Oreochromis niloticus: one gene and its partner. The protein of the gene in region 2 interacts with the protein of the main gene of each other region in a pairwise test. Links are inferred from orthologs where the notes say so. Each region holds a gene or a part of one and is shown on either strand. Other genes may lie near its edges.

What was found.
Region 1: the proteins of rab2a (region 2) and tbc1d25 interact in binary tests that used the Homo sapiens proteins (3 or more experiments, as listed by UniProt). The link is inferred for Oreochromis niloticus from reciprocal best matches to the Homo sapiens genes RAB2A and TBC1D25.

The regions. Positions count from the first base shown.
Region 1 is NC_031984.2:36,193,175-36,202,755, forward strand, and holds the start of tbc1d25 (TBC1 domain family member 25), read right to left. Parts: upstream 3,963-9,581; 5' UTR 3,807-3,962; coding exon 3,762-3,806; intron 1-3,761. UniProt on the Homo sapiens protein: Acts as a GTPase-activating protein specific for RAB33B. Involved in the regulation of autophagosome maturation, the process in which autophagosomes fuse with endosomes and lysosomes.
Region 2 is NC_031982.2:2,291,659-2,301,275, reverse strand, and holds the start of rab2a (ras-related protein Rab-2A), read left to right. Parts: upstream 1-5,446; 5' UTR 5,447-5,617; coding exon 5,618-5,663; intron 5,664-9,617.

The DNA of each region.
Region 1 (9,581 bases), on a different chromosome or scaffold from region 2:
CCTCAATGCACAGCTTGGGGCTGGACTCTGTTCCAGTCTGGAGGCCCTCAGTGACAGGTGGTTGGCAGGGATGGGTATTCTTGTATTTTCTCACCTTGCTGCCAATATGCTGGGGTTTTTGCTGGTGGATGAGATGGTTGCCTTCCTGCACCTTTGGGGAATAGGTCCTGACTGTCATCTGTGCTTTTGCACCAACGGACAGTTCAGATTAGCCGGCCTTCTTGGGGTCACTGTGTGGGATGCTTTAGGGTGATCCATCTGGTGTTTCTGTCATCCTACTGGAAAACTTCAACGCTCACATGGGAAAAACAGTGAGACTCACCTCTGCTGTTTGCAGATGATGTGGCCTAGGTGGTTGCCTCCAGCTTACACTAGAGCAGTTTGGAGCCAAGTGCTAAGCAGCGGGAATGAAAATTAGCACCTCCAAATCTGAGGTTGTGGTCCTCAGCTGGAAAAGGACCACGACCAGTTGAGGTGGTTTGGGTATCTGATTAGGATGCCTCCTCGTCACCTTCTGGGTGAGGTGTTCTGGGTATGGCCCACCAGATGGAGGCACCGAGGCAGACCCAGGACATGCTGGAGAGATTACATCAATCTCCTTACAATGCGTGGAGAGTTTCAACCCAAATCCAGCACCTTGAGATTGTACACTAAGCGGAAGGAATGAGGCAGAGGACTGGTGAGTGTCAGAACCAGTCCAGGATGAGACAACAAGCATCCATGAGTACAGCAGGAAGATGGCCACAACTGACTGTGTGCTTAGAGAATAGCTTAGGCAGCAGAAGCCCAAGAAAGAAGAGGACCAAGAAGAAGAACCATCATGACAGAAAGGCCCCTGTATGTACCACCGGCAGATAGACGAAGTGGCTGGAAATCCTACCAGTGGCTGGACAAAGCCGGAGTGACAGCACATGGGTGGCTGTAGCTCAGGTGGTAGAGCGGGTGTCCTACTCACCGGAAGGTTGGTGGTTCGTAGTCTACATGCCAAATATCCTTGGGCAAGATATTAACCCCATGTTGCCCTCCGATGCATCCATCGGAGTGTGAATGCGAGTAGAAGCACGATAAACCTTAGATAAAGTGCTTGTGTGAATGGGTATGATGAGCGCTTTGAGTGCTCAGTGAGAGTAGAAAAGCGCTATATAAGAACCAGTCCATTTACCATTTACATAGGCACATAGAGGCTGGGGTCTACCACACCAGGCAAGACCCCAGGTGCAGGCTGTGTAAAGATGCCCCTGAGACAATCCAGCACATAACTGCAGGGTGTAAGATGCTAGCAGGCAAAACATACATGGAACACCATAACCAAGTGGCCGGCATAGTATACAGATACATCTGCACCAATTATGTCCTGAAGGTCCCGAGGTCAAAATTGGACACTCCTCCCAGTGTGGTTGAGAATGACCGAGTTAAGATTCTGTGGGACTTCCGGTTACAGACAGATAAACTGGTGATGGCCCACCAACCAGATACAGTAGTGGTGTCCAGAAGAGCGCAGTACTAGGAACAGCAAAGATACTGCGCAGGACCCTTAAGCTCCCAAGACTCTGGTAGACCCGAGCTTGAAGGATGAAGGGATTTTTTTTTTCTGGTTTTTATATCAATCAACATTATTATTTGTTTCAATATTTGAATACATTTTGTTCAAATGTACATTCGGATATTGAACCTATAGCTTTTTAGTTTCTACACATTCTACCGTACTTTTATTTATGCAACTATAACAGTATTATGAACTTCTTTTTGATTAATGACAACATTAACGTGTCACAAAAAGCCATTACATTTCTTTCCTCTGCATGAAGTTTGTCATATTATGACCTCTAAACTTCTAAGTATTGTGAAATATACAGCAAAAAGGTTCGTAACATTATAAGCTGTTATGTCTTTGATGCAGATAATAAATTACACAACAAAAATGCTGGTGCACCTGTCCTGCCAAGGCATCCCCGGCAGACTTTGCTTCCAAATCACGAACAAAGAGTTTCCCTCATTAGGGATGGGTATCAAAACCCGGTTCTTGTTGAGAACCGGTTCCCACTGTTTCAATTCCTTGGAAACGATTCCCTTATCGATTCCAGTCGCCCCGAATGACGTCACCACGTTGCGGAGGGTCATTTACCTGGCAGGAAACGCGGCTCAAACGCTAAAAAGTTTGGTTATACTTATAACGGATGACAACAGGGCAACTTGCAATACTTGCAAAGTAGATATTTCATTTAAAGGAGGAAACACTACGAATATGCAAAAGCATTTGCTCACAAAACACGCCATAACCTTAAATTAATGTCGTGTTTTTAATTCCGCTCCGGACTCGTGAATCTCAACCCAGCAGCAGCGGTAACGTTTGCACGTCCTCTCCCGTTAATGCGGCAGGTAAATAATCAACTAACAGTGCATGTTATGTTAGCGCGATCTGCTTTATTACAAAACCTGCCATTACTGTGCATTTAGGCGACCATGATGAGAGAGACAGAGTCTGGCAGTTCTCGCTGCAGTCTACCGTTAGCGTCTCCTTTCAGGCCAGGATAGACGAATGTCACCGAGCAGTGACTAAGTTTGTGGTCAAAGGCTTGCACCCATTTGCCACAGCAGATGCCCCCGATTTTCGGTAAGTGAATGTGTTTAATTGTAGGCAGGGAGGTTACTGGATAGTCTTGTGTAATTGCTACAGAATAATTTATGTTATACTTTGTTATTGCTACAGAAAAATATTTATTTTATTATTTTACATTTACATTTTTTTTTTCCTGGGGACCCTGTGACACCCCATTGAAGAGCCGTAGGCTGTGGATCTCTTAAGATCTCACTGTTGGGTTTGTAAGGCCATGTTACTCCTAAATTTCTATCTTGTTTAAAGAGAAGATATAAAACAAAGTTCTAAGCTAATCGACCTTAGTAATCTCCTTTTTTTAAAAGCAAGAATCGAGAAGAGAATCGATAAAGAACCGAATCATTAAACAGAATCGAAAATGGAATCGGAATAGTAAAAATCTTATCAATACCGATCCCTATTCATCATTCTTGATTTTTAGTTCACAAACACTTCTTCCAATGATCAACTACTCCTGAAATTTTGGAGTTTTAGCTCTTTATGCAGTAAAGTTACAGGAGGATTAAAATAATTAAGGGGCAAAATGCCGTCGGTTTGTTAAAATAATCTCATAAAGTGAGAACAATAAATGTATCATTTTCTGTTTGTAACCCACAAACTGAACGGTAAAGTAACGACAGTCATCTTTCAGTTTTTCACTAAAGTAAACATCACTACTTCCACGTCTCGCTGTTTGTAATGGAGGCGGAGTCAACCGGACGTGCTCCCGACGCAGGGGAAACAGACACCGCCGGGGATACCTACAGGCACACATTTTCTGGGCAGGCAAGTGACGTCAGCTCACCTCTGTGACAGCCCGATGTTTAGCGTTGCATTGGATATTGTCAACGTGTTATGACCGATAACCGTGTCAGGTGTATCTTACAGGTTTACTCAGTATAAACTGACAGGGACAATGACTGATCGGCATCGAGAAGAAGCAATGCTACCGAAAAAACCCAAATAAATAGCAGCGATGAGGCCCCCTCTGTTATGGCACACTGCTAAACATCCTGTTTACGGAGTGCATATTTTCGACGTTTAACATTAACGCGGGAGCATGTCTGTCCAAACAGCCAATTTAACATATGCGATAATATGATTGCTCGCTGCTAGCAGTCTTTGGCAGCCTATTTGGAAGTCAAAGAAACCATCATTCTCCTACCTTGACTTTGACACGAACAACACCCCTCTCCTCCTCGCCTTCCATCGTAAAGACTCCGTTTCGGAAAAGGATGGTTCTACCGAGCTTTGTCTGCTGTTTGTTTGCTTTTCTATCCTGACATGATGGAAGTGGCACTAGCCGAGTTCCTATGCTTGACGATATTCTGCTTCTTTTTTTCTTCCTTGTGTTTATTGGCTGTTGACAAACAACGAATTGGTGCATTACCGCCACCAACTGGTATGGAGTATGGACCAGAATATCATACAAATGCGTTTGTCTAAGATAATTAAATATTGCCTGATACCTTTTACCTCCTCAGTTATTTCTAAGTAAAGCGATGTGGTTGGTTTTATGGCCAGAGAGGAACTTGGGGAGAGTAATGAAGTATACAGCGTGTGAAAAACAGTCAGTTGTGAGAACGACAATGTTACCTGCAGATGGAGGCAGTCAGGTAACGAAATCCAGTGCAATGTGGGACCAGTGGCAATTCCAGGTATGATGCAGAAGACCAACTGGGAGAGTGGCAGAAGTTTTGTTTTGAAGACAGGTGGCACAGGCAGACATTCACTCAGACGTCTCTGAGACTTTTATCATTATTATTATTATTATTATTATTATTATTATTACTTTCTTTTCTTTAATATACCTGTATAGTTTCTATATGTTCATGTAAAGTTGGGGAACACGGGTCTAAGGATTCACATTATGGGTAAATGTTGCTACAATGTTGTCTGTATATGACATATGACAATAAACATGAACTTGAACTTTGGCTGGATGACAGGTGAATATTGACATGTATATTCTGAGACTGGACAACTGAAGCAACATAAAAGACATAGAGAAGCCGAGGCATTGCTGAAGATGTTTTCAAGTGGTTAGCTCTGGCCAATCCAGAACCGCTTGGACCTGAGCTGGGTTGGCTCTGATTTGACCCTTTTCAGTGATGTAGCCAAGGACGGAAACATTGTCAGCATGAAACTGACACATCCTACCTTTACACATCTAACTTGTTTTCTAGGAGCTGCTGGAGGACTCGACAAAGATGGGACTGAATAACACTGAGGAAGATGCTCATTTTATTCAGAAACACTGCTTTCAGTTCAGTTTCATTTTTATTTATACAGCACCAAATCACAACAACAGTCGCCAAAAGGTGCTTTATGTTGTAAGGCAGACCCTACAGTAATACAACAGAGAACCCAACAATCATATGACCCTGTTGGGGGAAATCTCCCAAATAGAAGGCTGCCAAAGTAAAACAGAGACACAGTGAGACAATATAATCAATCACATGTACATGGGTGAACGTCTCTAATGAGAGTCACACCAGTACACTTCTTTATTGCAGGTTATATAGGCATGTAGGTTACTCAACAGGGCGGAGGCAGTCTCCGCCTGTTCTCAGAATATAGATTGCAAATGCATATCTTGCTAAAGAATATAGATTGCTTAACAGACAAATGCATATCTTGCTAAAATGTTCTGTTCATACTATACTAAACATCTGCTTAAGTGGAACTTTCCGTTCCTCTTCACAGGAACTTGTCTTCACCGGCATATGATAAGCATAGGCAAGGCTTCATGTTTATCAGGGTGAATCGTCATTCAGAGTTTACACAATCACAAGCAAAGCATATCATTCAGAGTTTTACACAGTTACAAGCAAAGCATATTTGAATAATAAACAAAATCTTTTCACAGACCCCCTATTAGTAAGCGCTTTGGTGACAGTCATCTGGAATATTTTTTTCATTCACTGCAAACTCCTCACATGAGTTGTATTAATTTATTCTAGTCTGTGTGTACATGCCATGTCAAGCCCAGTGCTTGCTTGCTCAGCAAATGCTGTGTGGAGCAGACAAACAGGGACTCCTTAGTCATTGTTCTTGGTGATTTGACCCAGGGAAACTTCAGTCCGGAGTTCCCCAAATACAATTTATTAACTTCTTAAGCCCCTCTTGCCCATGGGAACAGGTTTAGTACAATGTGATGCAAAGTCTATTTAAATACAGACATCAGTCGTAGCTTTAGAAAACTCAGAATCTCAGTTAAAAGCTCATGAAAACATTTTTGTACAACCCCCAACAACAGCTGAAACAACTAAAAGAGCAGGAAATCAAATTCTGCAAAATGACTGAGATGGCTTGGCCAAAGTGGCTGAAGCAGCACAGGAAACAGATGCTGACCAATGTAGCAGGTGATTTATTTACAAACATCGTGACAAAAAATATTTACAAAAATCAATAACTCAAAAGCTGACTTGGACAAATAAACATAACGAAACTTAAACCAACCAAAATGAATCTCATATGCACACTGACCTAGTCCTCTTCTCTTGAACAACTAAATTCTTTTGTTTAAATACTCTCAAGCTATACAAACAAAATTGCCTCCAATGGGCTATTCCATACAAATAGAATACAGTCATCCAGGTAAGACACATACATGAGACTAAATATTATAATCATCCTCTTACTTACTTTTCACCAGCAACAAAACACACACTTCTAAACTGTAGCCATTACATTTTACAATAATACATTCAACACTAAAGCAAACAAAACCCTAAAATGGACAGTTTTCTTCCCTCTCTTCACCTTGTCCCTTTCTGTGAAGTCACCAATAAACAGGAAGCTATAAATACAGGAAGTGAGTGTGAACTTCCTCTCACAGAGTAAAATGCACAAATTAACAGAAGCCTGCAGTGTGAGAGCGAAGGGCTCTAATAGGGTGATATGGTACTATGAGGCCATTAATGGGAAGCATGTATAATAATCTGAACATACATGCTTCCCTTAGGCAGTATCATGTTAACAGCATTGGTCCTAGCACTGAACCCTGTGGAACACCATAATTAACCTCAGTGTGTGAAGAGGACTCTCCATTTACATGAACAAACTGGAGTCTATTAGATAGATATGATACAAACCACTGCAGCGCAGCACCTGTAGTACCTACAGCATGTTCTAATCGCTCTAATAGGATATTATGGTCGACGGTATTGAACACTGTGCTTTCCTCTGCACCGTGGCTGTTATGCTCACCTGTCATTGATCCAGGACTATCAACAGGCAAGCTGTGGTTACAACAGTAGCTTGCCTCCACCAGTGTGTGAATGTGAGAGTGAATGAATAGTGGCATTGTAAAGCACTTTGGGTGCCTTGAAAAGCGCTATATGAAATCCAATCCATTATTATTTTTATTATTATTATTTAAGACCAGTGTCCACATCTGTTCCTCGCCAGTTTGTTATCTAACCCGTGTTAGTAACAGGCCACCTTTGCTTCACATGTCACATCTATAATTAACTTACCTCGTTCTCACATTGTGTGCAGTTTGCATTTCTACCCGGATGCTGTTCACCATTTTGGAAATCCTCAAGCCGCTTCAGGTTTTCTGGATCATGCTTCACCGCCTGCCTGCCTGCCTGCCTGCCTTCCACTGCTCTGGATCACTGTACAAACCAATTTGGATTCACTTCACACTCCCATCTCTCTGGACACTCACCTGGTCAATATTACTTCCCCCAGGAGCTTCTTCTGCTCCTCCTGCCAAGTAAGACACAAGATTCTCCCTAGCCTTCTCCTCCCAGCACATTAAGCAATCTCTCCTTGTGCAATTGTTTAGAATAGAATAGAATAGCTTTTTATTGTATAGTTTTATGTTTTGCACTAAAGCTTGTGTGAGAACTTGATGTCTGTGATTGAATCTGTGTGTGGGTCCTGTTGTGACACCACCCACTCAACTACTGGTCCATCCTGGGCCCTGCACCCAGATCTGTGCAAGGGAGACCAGCCACCCACCACCCCAGGCCCCACATCCCAAGACCACAAGGCAGCACTCCCCACAGCCACCCACCACCACCGACCAAAGCAGACATACGTGTGCCACAAAACAGCAGCTGCAGCTTTTAAGACCCCAGAAAACTGCCAGACTTCCTTAGACCCAGAGTCCACCCCCAGCCACCTGCAAGCCACACAGGGAAATGTGACTATAGCTGACCACCCCCAACTAGGTAAAGGAATTGATCAGTGCAGACCAATAAGAAATAAATTCATTCAATAGTTTTTTTGTTTGTTCGTTTTTTCGAGGAGACAGACATTTTTTTCCAAACTAATGTGATCTAGAAGTAAAGTTCTGCATTGAGTAATACACAAACTGTTTTTTTCATTTGCAGTTATGAGGATAGTTTTCTTAGCAATGCATAGGGCAGTAAGGACTATATGTGATGTTTTTGTTTCCATATCTAATTCACTTACGTCAGCCAAGATGCTCAGCTTCAATGAGGGTGGGATACAGCAATTAAACCATGTGGATAGTCTTCACATAACCTCTGCCAAAACCTCTGGACAGGTACACAAGACCACATAGCAAGCACTTGTAGACCTCCTCTACCTGCTTTTCCCTGTGTAACCTTGTTCTCCTTGAGTTTAGAGGTTGTTGTTTCTCACAGTTTGGACTCACCTGGACATCTGTTTCGCCTCCTTGTCTGCTTGCCTGCTATTACACCCCAGACAGTCTGGAAACCCCCATGGACCTCCCCTCCTCAGAGCTTTCAAAGCCCAGACCAGCAAGTCTCTGGCAGATATCTGGATTGTTAAATGGATGTTAGTTTACATGGGATAAGTTAAGAATGAGCTATTTTTAAAAATTCCCACCAGGCTTTCAGAGAGGTGTTTATGTTAAGGCTTTTAAAGCAGTTATGATGCTTAATGCTTTCTAAGCTTATGAAAGGCAGACTAGAGATTTTTACTTTCCCACACAATGCTTCTTCCAGCCACAGGAGAGCTTGATTTGATCCATTTTGAAAGATATAGCAATCTATTGGTCAAGAAGGAGTAATACAATTTTGGTAGTTGTAGACCACCATTGAAAACTCTATTAAAGCCAAAAAAAACCCAACTTATACGTGATGGTTTATTTTTCCACAGACATTTCAAGACGTTTGAGTCTAGTGACTTAAACCAGGCAGTAAAGACTTTATTAGAGATCACCGAGAACCAGTTGTCTATTTGAAACAGAACCATCATTTTAAGTGGTGCGACTCTTCCCATGAGTGATATAGGTAAAGTATTCCAATGTGTGGGATCTTCTTCTTCTTCTTTATTTTTAGTGGCAGAATATGATTTAATTGTACCAAGTGTGAGAGCTTGGTCGGAAAATCTATACCTAAATATCTAATATTACGTAATTGTAGTGGACTGGTGGAGGTGTTCTGAAATTTGCAGTTCAGAGTTAGAACTGTTGATTTACTCCAGTTAATCGAGTAGTCTGATATGGATGAGAACTTATCTATGAATGTTATTGTCTTCAGAAGGAAAAGCAATACATCAGCAGCATATAGCCTTATCTTATGGTCTGTATTTTCAGTTTGAATTCCTTTAATATCTACATTGTGCTGCTGCTAGTGGTTCGATGAAAATGAATAAAAAGCAATGGGGCAGCTCTGTCTGGTGCCCCTCTTTAGATTTAGAAAGCTCTGGGATGTAACATAATTTGGCCTAACGGATGCATTTGGAGAGCTGTATAGTGTTTTCATCCAATTTATCAAGAATGAATCAAAGCAATAATCTATTACATTAATTAGTCTCTGTGTATTATTGGCTGAGTGTCTGCCTTGATAAAACCTGTTTGATCAGCATGTATTTATGAATGGAGGGAGTTTTTCGAATCTTCTTGCAAGGGCTTTGCAAAGCATTATAATGTCTACATTTATGAGTGAGATTGGGCAGTAGCTGGGGTGCCCATCTTTCTAATCATGCCTCCCTTATTTTTAGTATCTGGTAAGAGGGTAGGTGGCAGAGCACCTTATGACGA
Region 2 (9,617 bases):
ATGTAGAAATTTCATAGATTATTTGATTACTGAATTCACAGCCACTTTCTTGTGGTGATACTCAAATACAATGAATTTGCTGAGATATTACTCAAAACCAGCAGAATTTAGCCTCTAATTATTCTATTTAATACTGGTATTTCAATCAATCTGATGGACTTAGCTAGTGACACCTATTCACTTCTTTAGTGTATGTTCTTTACCAATGCAGATGTCTTCTCCTGTCCAGAGTGATTTCCTCCTGTTGCTTTCTGCCATCAAACACGTCACATTTAGTCAGATTACCTTGCTCTGTAAGAAACAATTAGTCACTACAGCTCAGCATGTCAATAATGAGTATTTAATTAGCTCTTTGGAAAATTCTTTTCATGCTTTGCATTTACCTGTTTGCTTGCTGCCATCAAGTGGTATTGTGTTATATTTACCCTCACAGTAAAGAAGATAGAGAGCCTTGGATCTTTTTTCTTTTTCTTTTCTCAATTTTGCGAGTGTCATCATAGCTGAATAAAAAAAAAAGCAAATCCTCTGACATATGACAATGTTTGTTTTGTTTTTTTATTAAAATAAGCTAGCATTAACACTTTGAGCCTAGCTAGTTAAAATTCAATATAGATTCAAAAAATTAAAAATGTATTTCTTGTTGTCAGTAGCAACTGATATCTGTGATTGTGCCAGAGCATATTTTGAATCACCATCATGGGCATTTCAGATTTCAACACAGGTGGTTGATTGTTACACTCTGGAAACTGAATGAAGGTGAGCATCATAACCCCATAAATCATAAAAAAAATCACTTCAAATTTTTGGTGAAAAACTTGGTCATGACAGTGCAGATTCCTGACATTTTGTAAGCATGTAACAGTTTGATTATTTCTAACACAAGAATGTGAAACTTAAATTAGAAAAATTGTATTTCCAACTGATCCACCTCATGTTGTGTAGTATTCTGGATTTTATACTTATTGAGCTACATGTTTATTTAATATATAGGCTACACAGTAGCCTATATATAAAATCAAAATGCACATTTTTTATGTAACGGAAATGTTTTATTATTTGGCCTAAAGCCAATAAGAAGGTTACTGACCATGTTTATAGGAAACAGGTGTATACTTACTGCATTTGGTGTATTTTAAGCATATATAATAAATATTACAGAATGTAACACCTGCACATTGATTTTGCCACCCCATGTGATTTCCCTGTCACCCTCACGCCATCCTAGGAATATTTCTCTAGATCCACCCCTGCATGTCAGGACTGATATTGCAAGCTTACTGGCTAGAACTGAAGGTAGGTCCTATGTCATTCCCTATTCTATGTTTCTTTTTGACTCTGACTGGGGGTATAATAATATCTGAAATCAGCACTGCGTTCTATTTAATAAAGCTTAACTTACAATCTTAAGTATAACTGAAGTTACAGATCAAAAAAACTGAAAGGCATTTTCCTTACACTTATCTACAATTAGAGGAGTCGCCCTCTGCTGGCCCTGTGCTAAAAAGAATCCAGGTTTAAGGCACTGCAAAGAGCCACTGCTCTTCTGTGCAGTGAATAATGGCCACAGAGTTTCCTTTCAGGTTTTTACATGGTTGAAAATTTGTTTTCTACAATACAATGATCCATTTAAAGTTCAAGGACTAGGTTACATCACTGCTTTTAAAATGTCCACCTGTAACCGGTTGGTTTAACTCTTGAATACATGCTGTAAACACAGCTGTCTGTTGAGCTTGGAACTTAGATGTGGGCTGGAATCAAAGGCAACATTGTTTTCATTGTGTGTCATTACTTTTTTGTTTAAGTCAAATTTATTTTCTGTGTCTCACTGTGACGACATACAAAATGTCATGAGGGCAAAAGTAACTCGGAACATAAATTGTTACATTTTGGGATTACAAGTAGATATAGACAGGTCTATCCAGAAAATGAATGTCCTAAAACATAACATCAGAATATCATCAGAATAGTGCGCAATTTTGAGAGTCTGCGATTGAAATAAGGCTGGGTCTATTTTGTGGAAAATTGTAGCTTTTTTAATTTATTGAAAGAATAGCTGCCTAAGATGATGCATTTTATTTTCCAGCTGTTCCTTTTAAAAATGTGAAAAAATCACATTTGAATTAAAAAGAGATAACACTTTATTTCAAGATAATGTTAAATCAGAAAAATCCCATTTAAATTGATGTTAAAGCGTTGTAAAACTACTCAAGGAGTAATGGAGAAGTGAATGGTTTTCTTACAAATGGATGTTTTGGGTTTGTTTGGGGTTTTTTTTTTAAACTTACTCACAGATGTCATATTATTTCCAGGCCTTTCGGGCTGGTTTTCTGAACTTGCTGATAATTCTGTCTGCCCAGATTTATGTTGTTTTGCTTTCTTTAGATTTATTTTTTTTATGGTCTAATATTTTGCACTGATTTACTGTAATAACCCCTCCATCCATCACCATGTTCCTAAGACCTGTGTTGTCGAGAGAAACTTTTTCTGGTGGGCCTCCCAAAGCAAAATGGTCTTCAGATTAAGTGTCATTCAAATGAGCACTGAGTGGCCGAGCCTTAGCCCACTGGGCCTGGACCCAGAACAAGACTCATGAGTCCACCCTCCTGTGGAGGCAGAGGGAGCTATAAGGGTCTGGTGCTTTGTAGATCAAGTAAGAGTCAGTGGCTTTGGCAGTCACATCCCCAGCTGCCCAAGTTGACTTCAGGGACATAGAGACAGGTGAGGAGCTTGTTCATCTAGGACGACTCAGAGAGAACACCTGATGAGGATGGATCCTGCATGTGTAACTGGGAGAGAACATGCTGGAGAGATGATGACTCTTACTTGCCTTGGGAAAGCATTGGTCAAAAACATTTCTGCTGGATAACCTAGAGGCTATAGCCAGGTAAGAAGTGGGTCTGAGCATCTTTTCTTAGTCTGCTGCCTCAATGACCCAAACCCAGATAAATGGCAAAAAAAAAAAAAATGGCCCTGGTCCTGAGCAAGATTATACGTGAAAGCCAGGTCAAAGAAATCTGACAGCAGTCTGGCTGGACTCGGCTAATTCCTCACAATCTTCTCAGAACAGCACTGAAGCACTATCACATCCCAGACCACATCAAGGTAATAATCAGCAGTTACCTGAGAGGGTTCAAGCACCGCTTCAAGGCCAAAGACTACCTACAGAAAGAGATCGTCACCATTCCTGTTTGCTATGAGCATTAACTTCATCGTGACGTCACTATCATTGGAGCAGTGGAAAACGTAAGACAACTGGCAATAAGGGGCTTCATACCTTACAGTCACGACATCTTCCAACATGCAGGCAAAATGGGTTCTAGGTTCTAGGTTAATATCGCTGACAAGTGCAATCTGAGAAAGTGGTATGACAATTCACCAAGCGACAGAAACAACGTCCACAACACAAGAAGCACCACAAGCAGAGGGACCGCTGAAGGACACGAATAAATCTGACTACTGGGGAGGCTTAAGGCATGACTGTACCAATATGGCCTGCTCCCCAGGTAGATGTGGCTCATCATAATATATGAAGTCCCACAGTGGACAGAGGAGAACTAAGAAACCCGGAGGAGGAACAGAGGACGTTAGAAGTGGTGGAGGTTGGATCCAGGCCGTGACTGCTGACCTGCCAGCAGGAGACTGTTAGAGCATCAAAACACAATCGTGGCCTCATAACATTTCAACCACTGTGGGCCCCAAAGTGGCTGTCCACATCTTATTGCCAAAAGTTGTCATCCCAAGTCAATGCTTGTGTGATGAATGGCTCCCAGGGGTCCAGGCCCAGGTTACCCTGTCCCTTCAGCTGACATGGACCTTGGGAAGTCTGTAAATTCATATATATGTCTTTTTGAAACAAAAAAAAAAGCTGATGAAGCATGGTCTCACTTGAAACTTGAAAGGCATTCACTATGGGGCATAGGTGAGTTAAAACTGTTTTTTGGGCTGCTCAAGCAATTTGGCTTCAGTGTTTGTTTACACTACAGCTCCAAATCCAAGTGACAGCAAGCCAAAATAATGTGTCTATGTCTAACCTGTCTATGTCCAGCTGCAGCCTGTATTCAGTTTGAATATTGCTATAAACTGATATGGATCAGTTTATGCCTTTTATTCACTGTAACATTTAAGTTTTAAGACTGAGAGAGGACAGAGAGGGAGAGAAAGAGAGAGAACAGGATGAAGACAGCAAAGAGAGCAAAAAGAAACTGGTAAGAGTGGAAATGTAGTCAAATTCACCAAAAATGATGAAGCTGTAGGTTTCCCACATTCATTGATGATGAGTTTGCGTATGTAAGCAGTCTGCTGTCCTGTTGTCAGTTGTGGATACCCCTCTTATACTTATTACTGTTCTATAATAACTATTATGAGATTATATTTGTTGTCATTTTCTAGCTTCTAGCTGAGTGAAGAGGATGGAGAGAGAGAGAGGACAGAGAGGTTGTAGAAGAACAGGAAGATTGAGGGAGCACACAGTGAAGTTAGCTGGAAAAAACAAAAGTTATTTTTCATAAAGTAGTTTTTCATGTATTTTGTGGATGCTTTGCATGCTTTCCAGTAGCACACTTAAAAATGCCAATGGAAATTCTGAACAGGACATATTGATATGAATTGTAGCATTTTGCAGGATTTAAAAGCTTTAATATAAAACAGCTCTACTACAGTTTGCTTTGTGTCCTGCCACTATAGAGTGGCAGGATGATTTTCTACTGTCTGTACTGATTAATGCCACTTTAAGTGCTTGATGATTTGGTGGACTGCCTCTGTGTGATTGAGAGACTGGAATAGTGTTGTGCATGTTTCTCATCTTATCTGCTTTGCCACAAATAATTCAGTAACTTCTTTAATGACTGAGCCTTTGGCTTGAGTTTAATAACTAAATGCTCCACACTAAAATGGTGTATTAGATTGAAATCTCTGATTACTCACTCTGACTTATTCTTTGACACTACAATTGATCATCCAACTATTAGGCTGCTTTTGAAGGTAACATTGTAATGTTTATCCAATTGAATTGAGGTTTGCAACTGTAAAAGGGGTTTATTATATTTTTTGCAAAAAACATATTCCATTAATACTAATTACACTGCACTGCATGCATGACATTATGATTGGGAGCTGACCCCCCCTAAAGGTTTGAGCCTAGAATCGCCATTGCTATGTGGTACTGTTTATGGTATTATGCATACCGCTTCACGGTGTGGTTTCATTTACCTTTTTTATTCTTGAATTTGTTGTATATGTTGTGAAAGTGGTAGCAGTGATCTCTGCTCCCTTTTTATTTCATTTTTTATTTATTTAACAACAAAGTGAAGTGAATCTAATACCTCCTGACTTTTTTTTTAGAAGAAAGGTGATTTTTTTCCCCCCATCATTTCCACTAAGAGTGGAAGTAGTGAAATGCATCGTAAATTTCCGAGCAGACCCTGAAGATCTCATTGTGTAGCGTGGCGAGGGCGGACCGTGTGACGTCGAGCCGAGGCTCTGGCTGTTTATTGTTCCTTCCTCAGCACGGACAGAGAGAAACGGGCTAACAGTCTGTCAGCCACTTTCTTTACACGGTTAACGGTCGATTTTACGAAGGTGTAACGGGCTAGACAGCTAACTGCACAAACCAGGGGTCATGGCGTATGCGTACCTCTTCAAATACATCATCATCGGAGACACGGGTAAGTTACAGCAAGTGGCAGCTAGACTGCCAGTTAGCATTTACCTAGCTCTTAGCCGCTAGCTAGCGGCGTATTTCCGCAGTGTTGGATAGTTCAATGACGTGGTAAAAGCAGAGACAGAAGGGGTGGGATGACAGCTCCAATCCTTCTCTGTTAACATATTTAGATAACAATAAGCGACCCCTGGCAGTGTTAAAAATCCACACAGGAATCTTGACACAAGCTGCCTTGGAGTAGCTTGTGTCAAGGTTGATAGCGGCTGATAAATGTTTGGGCCTTTTGTCCCTTTGCGTCGAGGGTGGGGGTGTTAGCCACAGCTTGCCAGCCCAGCTAAGTAGCATTAGCTTTTCCACCAAATATTTAGCAACCGGCTGTCACGACATCCAAATAACGCTTCACTGACTGCAGCTACATACGACAGACAACCACACTACCAATTTCTGTTATTGTACATGTCTTATAATTACTAAACATTAGCCTAGCTTCTTGTCAGAGAAGGCCAAGACGCCAAGCTGCACCTCTAATATTCCCTGAAATGGCGTAGACCAGATCTAATTTCTGGCTACATATATCCTCGCGATTTGGAGTCGTTGCACGGTTTCATGTTTTGCGCTTCATTTACCAAAATGTAGTTTTGTATATCTTGTGCTGGAAACCACTCAATTAGCCGGCAGTGTTGTCATCTGTTTACTGTTAGCAGGCTGTACTGATGAGGGCTACCGCTGTGTGGTTCCAGGTACATTTCTATATTATACCGTTATATTATACTGTTATAGCACCAGTTTTAGAAAAGCAGGCAGGTCTTACAGCTGTGAGGTACAACGAGAGCTTTAGTAAGATAAACTGCCAGCGATAGCAAGAAGCAGCTAGAAAATTTTCAGAGTAAATAGATATTGGGGAAACACTCCCATTGTGAGGATATGTAGTTTTGTCTTAGATGATGTACACTGTAGTGGGCTTCATGTTTACTACACTGTTATTGCCAAGCAGGGTCACGTTCTGCCTGCTGCTGTTATGATTTCGTGCAAGTATGTTGTTTATCTTCAGTAGTGAGTGTTGAAAAGGTCCCAGCTTGATTACACAGATGTCTAGACCAGAAATACTCCATCTGTGCGCCACTTACTTTTACCTCACGAGGCTTTTTTCAGCACACACGCGGGCATTGCAGTGCTAGCCTCGTTTTTTTTTTTCTTCAAGCATATTTCTAGGGAGAAATTGTATTTATTTTTTAAGTAAAATATCTGGTGTCCAGGACATAACATGTAATTAATATTAGTGTCAAAAAAACGGCTGGGCCAAATGTTCCATAGCTATCATCTTCTCATCATATGACATTACAAATTTAGTGTGGGGTGTTTGGGATCACTTTCAGAAATCCCTGGAAAGAAACCTAACATTAGTCTGCCAGCTGAAAATCTAATTGGCTCACTGATTTGTTGTTGTGATCAGTAGAAAGGCTTCTAAAAAGGTTTAGGGACAGTAGTAGTAACTGTATACAACAGTAAATAACTGTAAAAACATAATTTTCTGCATATAATATGTCATTTTAATACAACTTTACATAATCCCACTATATCTGGCTGTGTTCTGTCTGGCTCAGTTCATCTGGGGCTGAGAGATACATCAAGCGTGATTCTCAGAAGCAAAAGCCTATCCAGCGTTTGCTTGGGTAAAATATATTTTTCCAGCATTGTCAATGATGAGACTCAAAGGTGCAGGAGTCATGATGTTTACTTATACTAGATCATGTGATTTCTGTCAACAAAGAGGTCAGCAGTTACACTTATGTATAGGAGCCAGGTCATTTTAAGTAAGAAACTAGCCTGCAATGTTGTGATCATACTATGATGCAAGTCAGACTGATCGGATCATCTTAAACTAAGGTGGGTTGGGTAGAAGGGATTTAATCTTGCAAACAATGTATGTAGCACTGTTCATATGCTACAGTGCTTATTGCTAATTACTTAGCGGTGGCTGGGAACAGCGAAGCTGCTTACGAGTTGCTCTACATGCAGGAAGAGAGGGGAAGGAGACAGTGGGGAGTTTATCTCTTGCTTACCAGCATACCAGCAGGATGGCACCCAATCATATTTAGTCAATACAGGAATAAATGATTCAGCCCACCTTTATTAGTGAACATAAGTCAATAGATGTTAGCTGAACAGGTATAACAGTATGAAATGATAAGATTTGTCTGGTTCTTTATTCCCTTGTTAAAATTGAAAATTTCTAGAGCTATATTTTATCGTAAACAATGCTAATACCAGGCTATAGCTTGGGCAAAAAAACAAAAAAAAGCCCAGTGCATAGGTCTGCAAGGCATGTAATTCAGTGGGTGAATCACTGGTATGAGTAGAACTTGCTCATTTTTGCCACCACCTAACTACTTAACTAACTAGTTAGACAACATCAGCTTGGCTTGTGGCAACTTTGTGGACAAAGTGTGGGGCAATTTGCCTGCCTTTGTATGTGAACAATGTGTCTGAAAGAGAAAGGGACATCTTCTGGAAGAACTCTTCTCTTTTCTTTTTTATGATTGTTTAAAATGTCTAAAACACTACCGTGTACCACACAGTTGGTACAAAGTGTTTGTTTGAGCATCTTTGACTGTGATCGTTTTTTGTATTTTCATTAGGCGGTCAGTTAAAATGTCAGTTTTTACACATTTGTATGACTGTATTTAATAATTTTATTTTATAATTATTTGTTTCTTCTATGTTTTATTCCCTAGAATATAACACATCTTGTCTTGGTCTTATCTTCACCCTAAAGTAGATATGATGGTTCCTGGTCTGTACAGCTACATGTTATCAAAATCTAAAGCCAGTCATGGAGTAGTAGTTGGACAAGTTTAACTTGGGTGTGTCGTCTTGTTACCTTGTAACTGCTCTGCTGAGCCAAAGCAAATCCACAAGTTTAAACACCAGAAAAACCTCCGATCTCCAGGTTAATCAATGTTCAGTGAGGCTTTTATTGTGAAAAGTAATCATTAAGGCTTCCATCTTCCAGGTGTGCTTAGTAAGATGGTCAGTACCAGTAAGATTGGCAGTCTTTTAGTGCAGTGTGTAATCATTCATCTACACATGAAGAATGAGGAAGATGTATTTCCAGTCAGTGAGTTTTAGTTGGGTTTTTAAGGTGTGATGCGTAGACATCATTTTAGTCAGAGGAAACACTCGCAGCTAATACTCATACAGCTGGTGTTCTTAACCCCACCTGCCAGACATGTATTCAGAGCTGACTTTTTCTCTTTTTTTTTTGGTTGAACTCAATAAATCAACTAGTTTCTCACAGAGGTTTTTCTTTTAAAATATTAACTATAATTAATACAGAAATACAGCTGCAGTGTATGACTTTCTAGGAGAAAAAAAACACACAGACACAAGTCACTTTGTCCAGTGGCATCCTACCTTTTTTGGCATGTAGTGTGTTTCGGTAGTTGTTCACCTTAGGTGTAGATTCGTGGCCTGCTCTTAATTTTCTTGACCTTTATCTAACTTGTCATTTTAATTTGGCCTCTACCCATTGTTGCACAGGCCCTGGCCTGCATCCTTGCTGTGTTGCTGATGCTTTCTGAAATGTGACATTTGTCAAAACTTACCGTATATCATTCCAGGTGTCATCACCTCTCTCTCCTCTTATTTTCTCTCAACTCTTCGTGGAGTGTTTGAGGAGATGCTTTGCTTTATGACTTAAAGGAGTAACAGGCACTTGCACGGGCAAATAATGATCAATTGGATTGACTATTCTGAGACAGAAAAAAAGTTAATTCAGTGTTGACTGTCTCTCTGACCCATGGCCAGGCTGTCCTCAGATATAGCTGGCAGAAGACAAACTGCATCTGAACAGAAATTATAGCTTCAGTACAGATTGAATGTCCAAAAATAGGTTCTGTCCCACTGAACACTGCCTGTAGATCTCCAGCTTTTCAAATTTTAGAGCGTTTGACCCCAT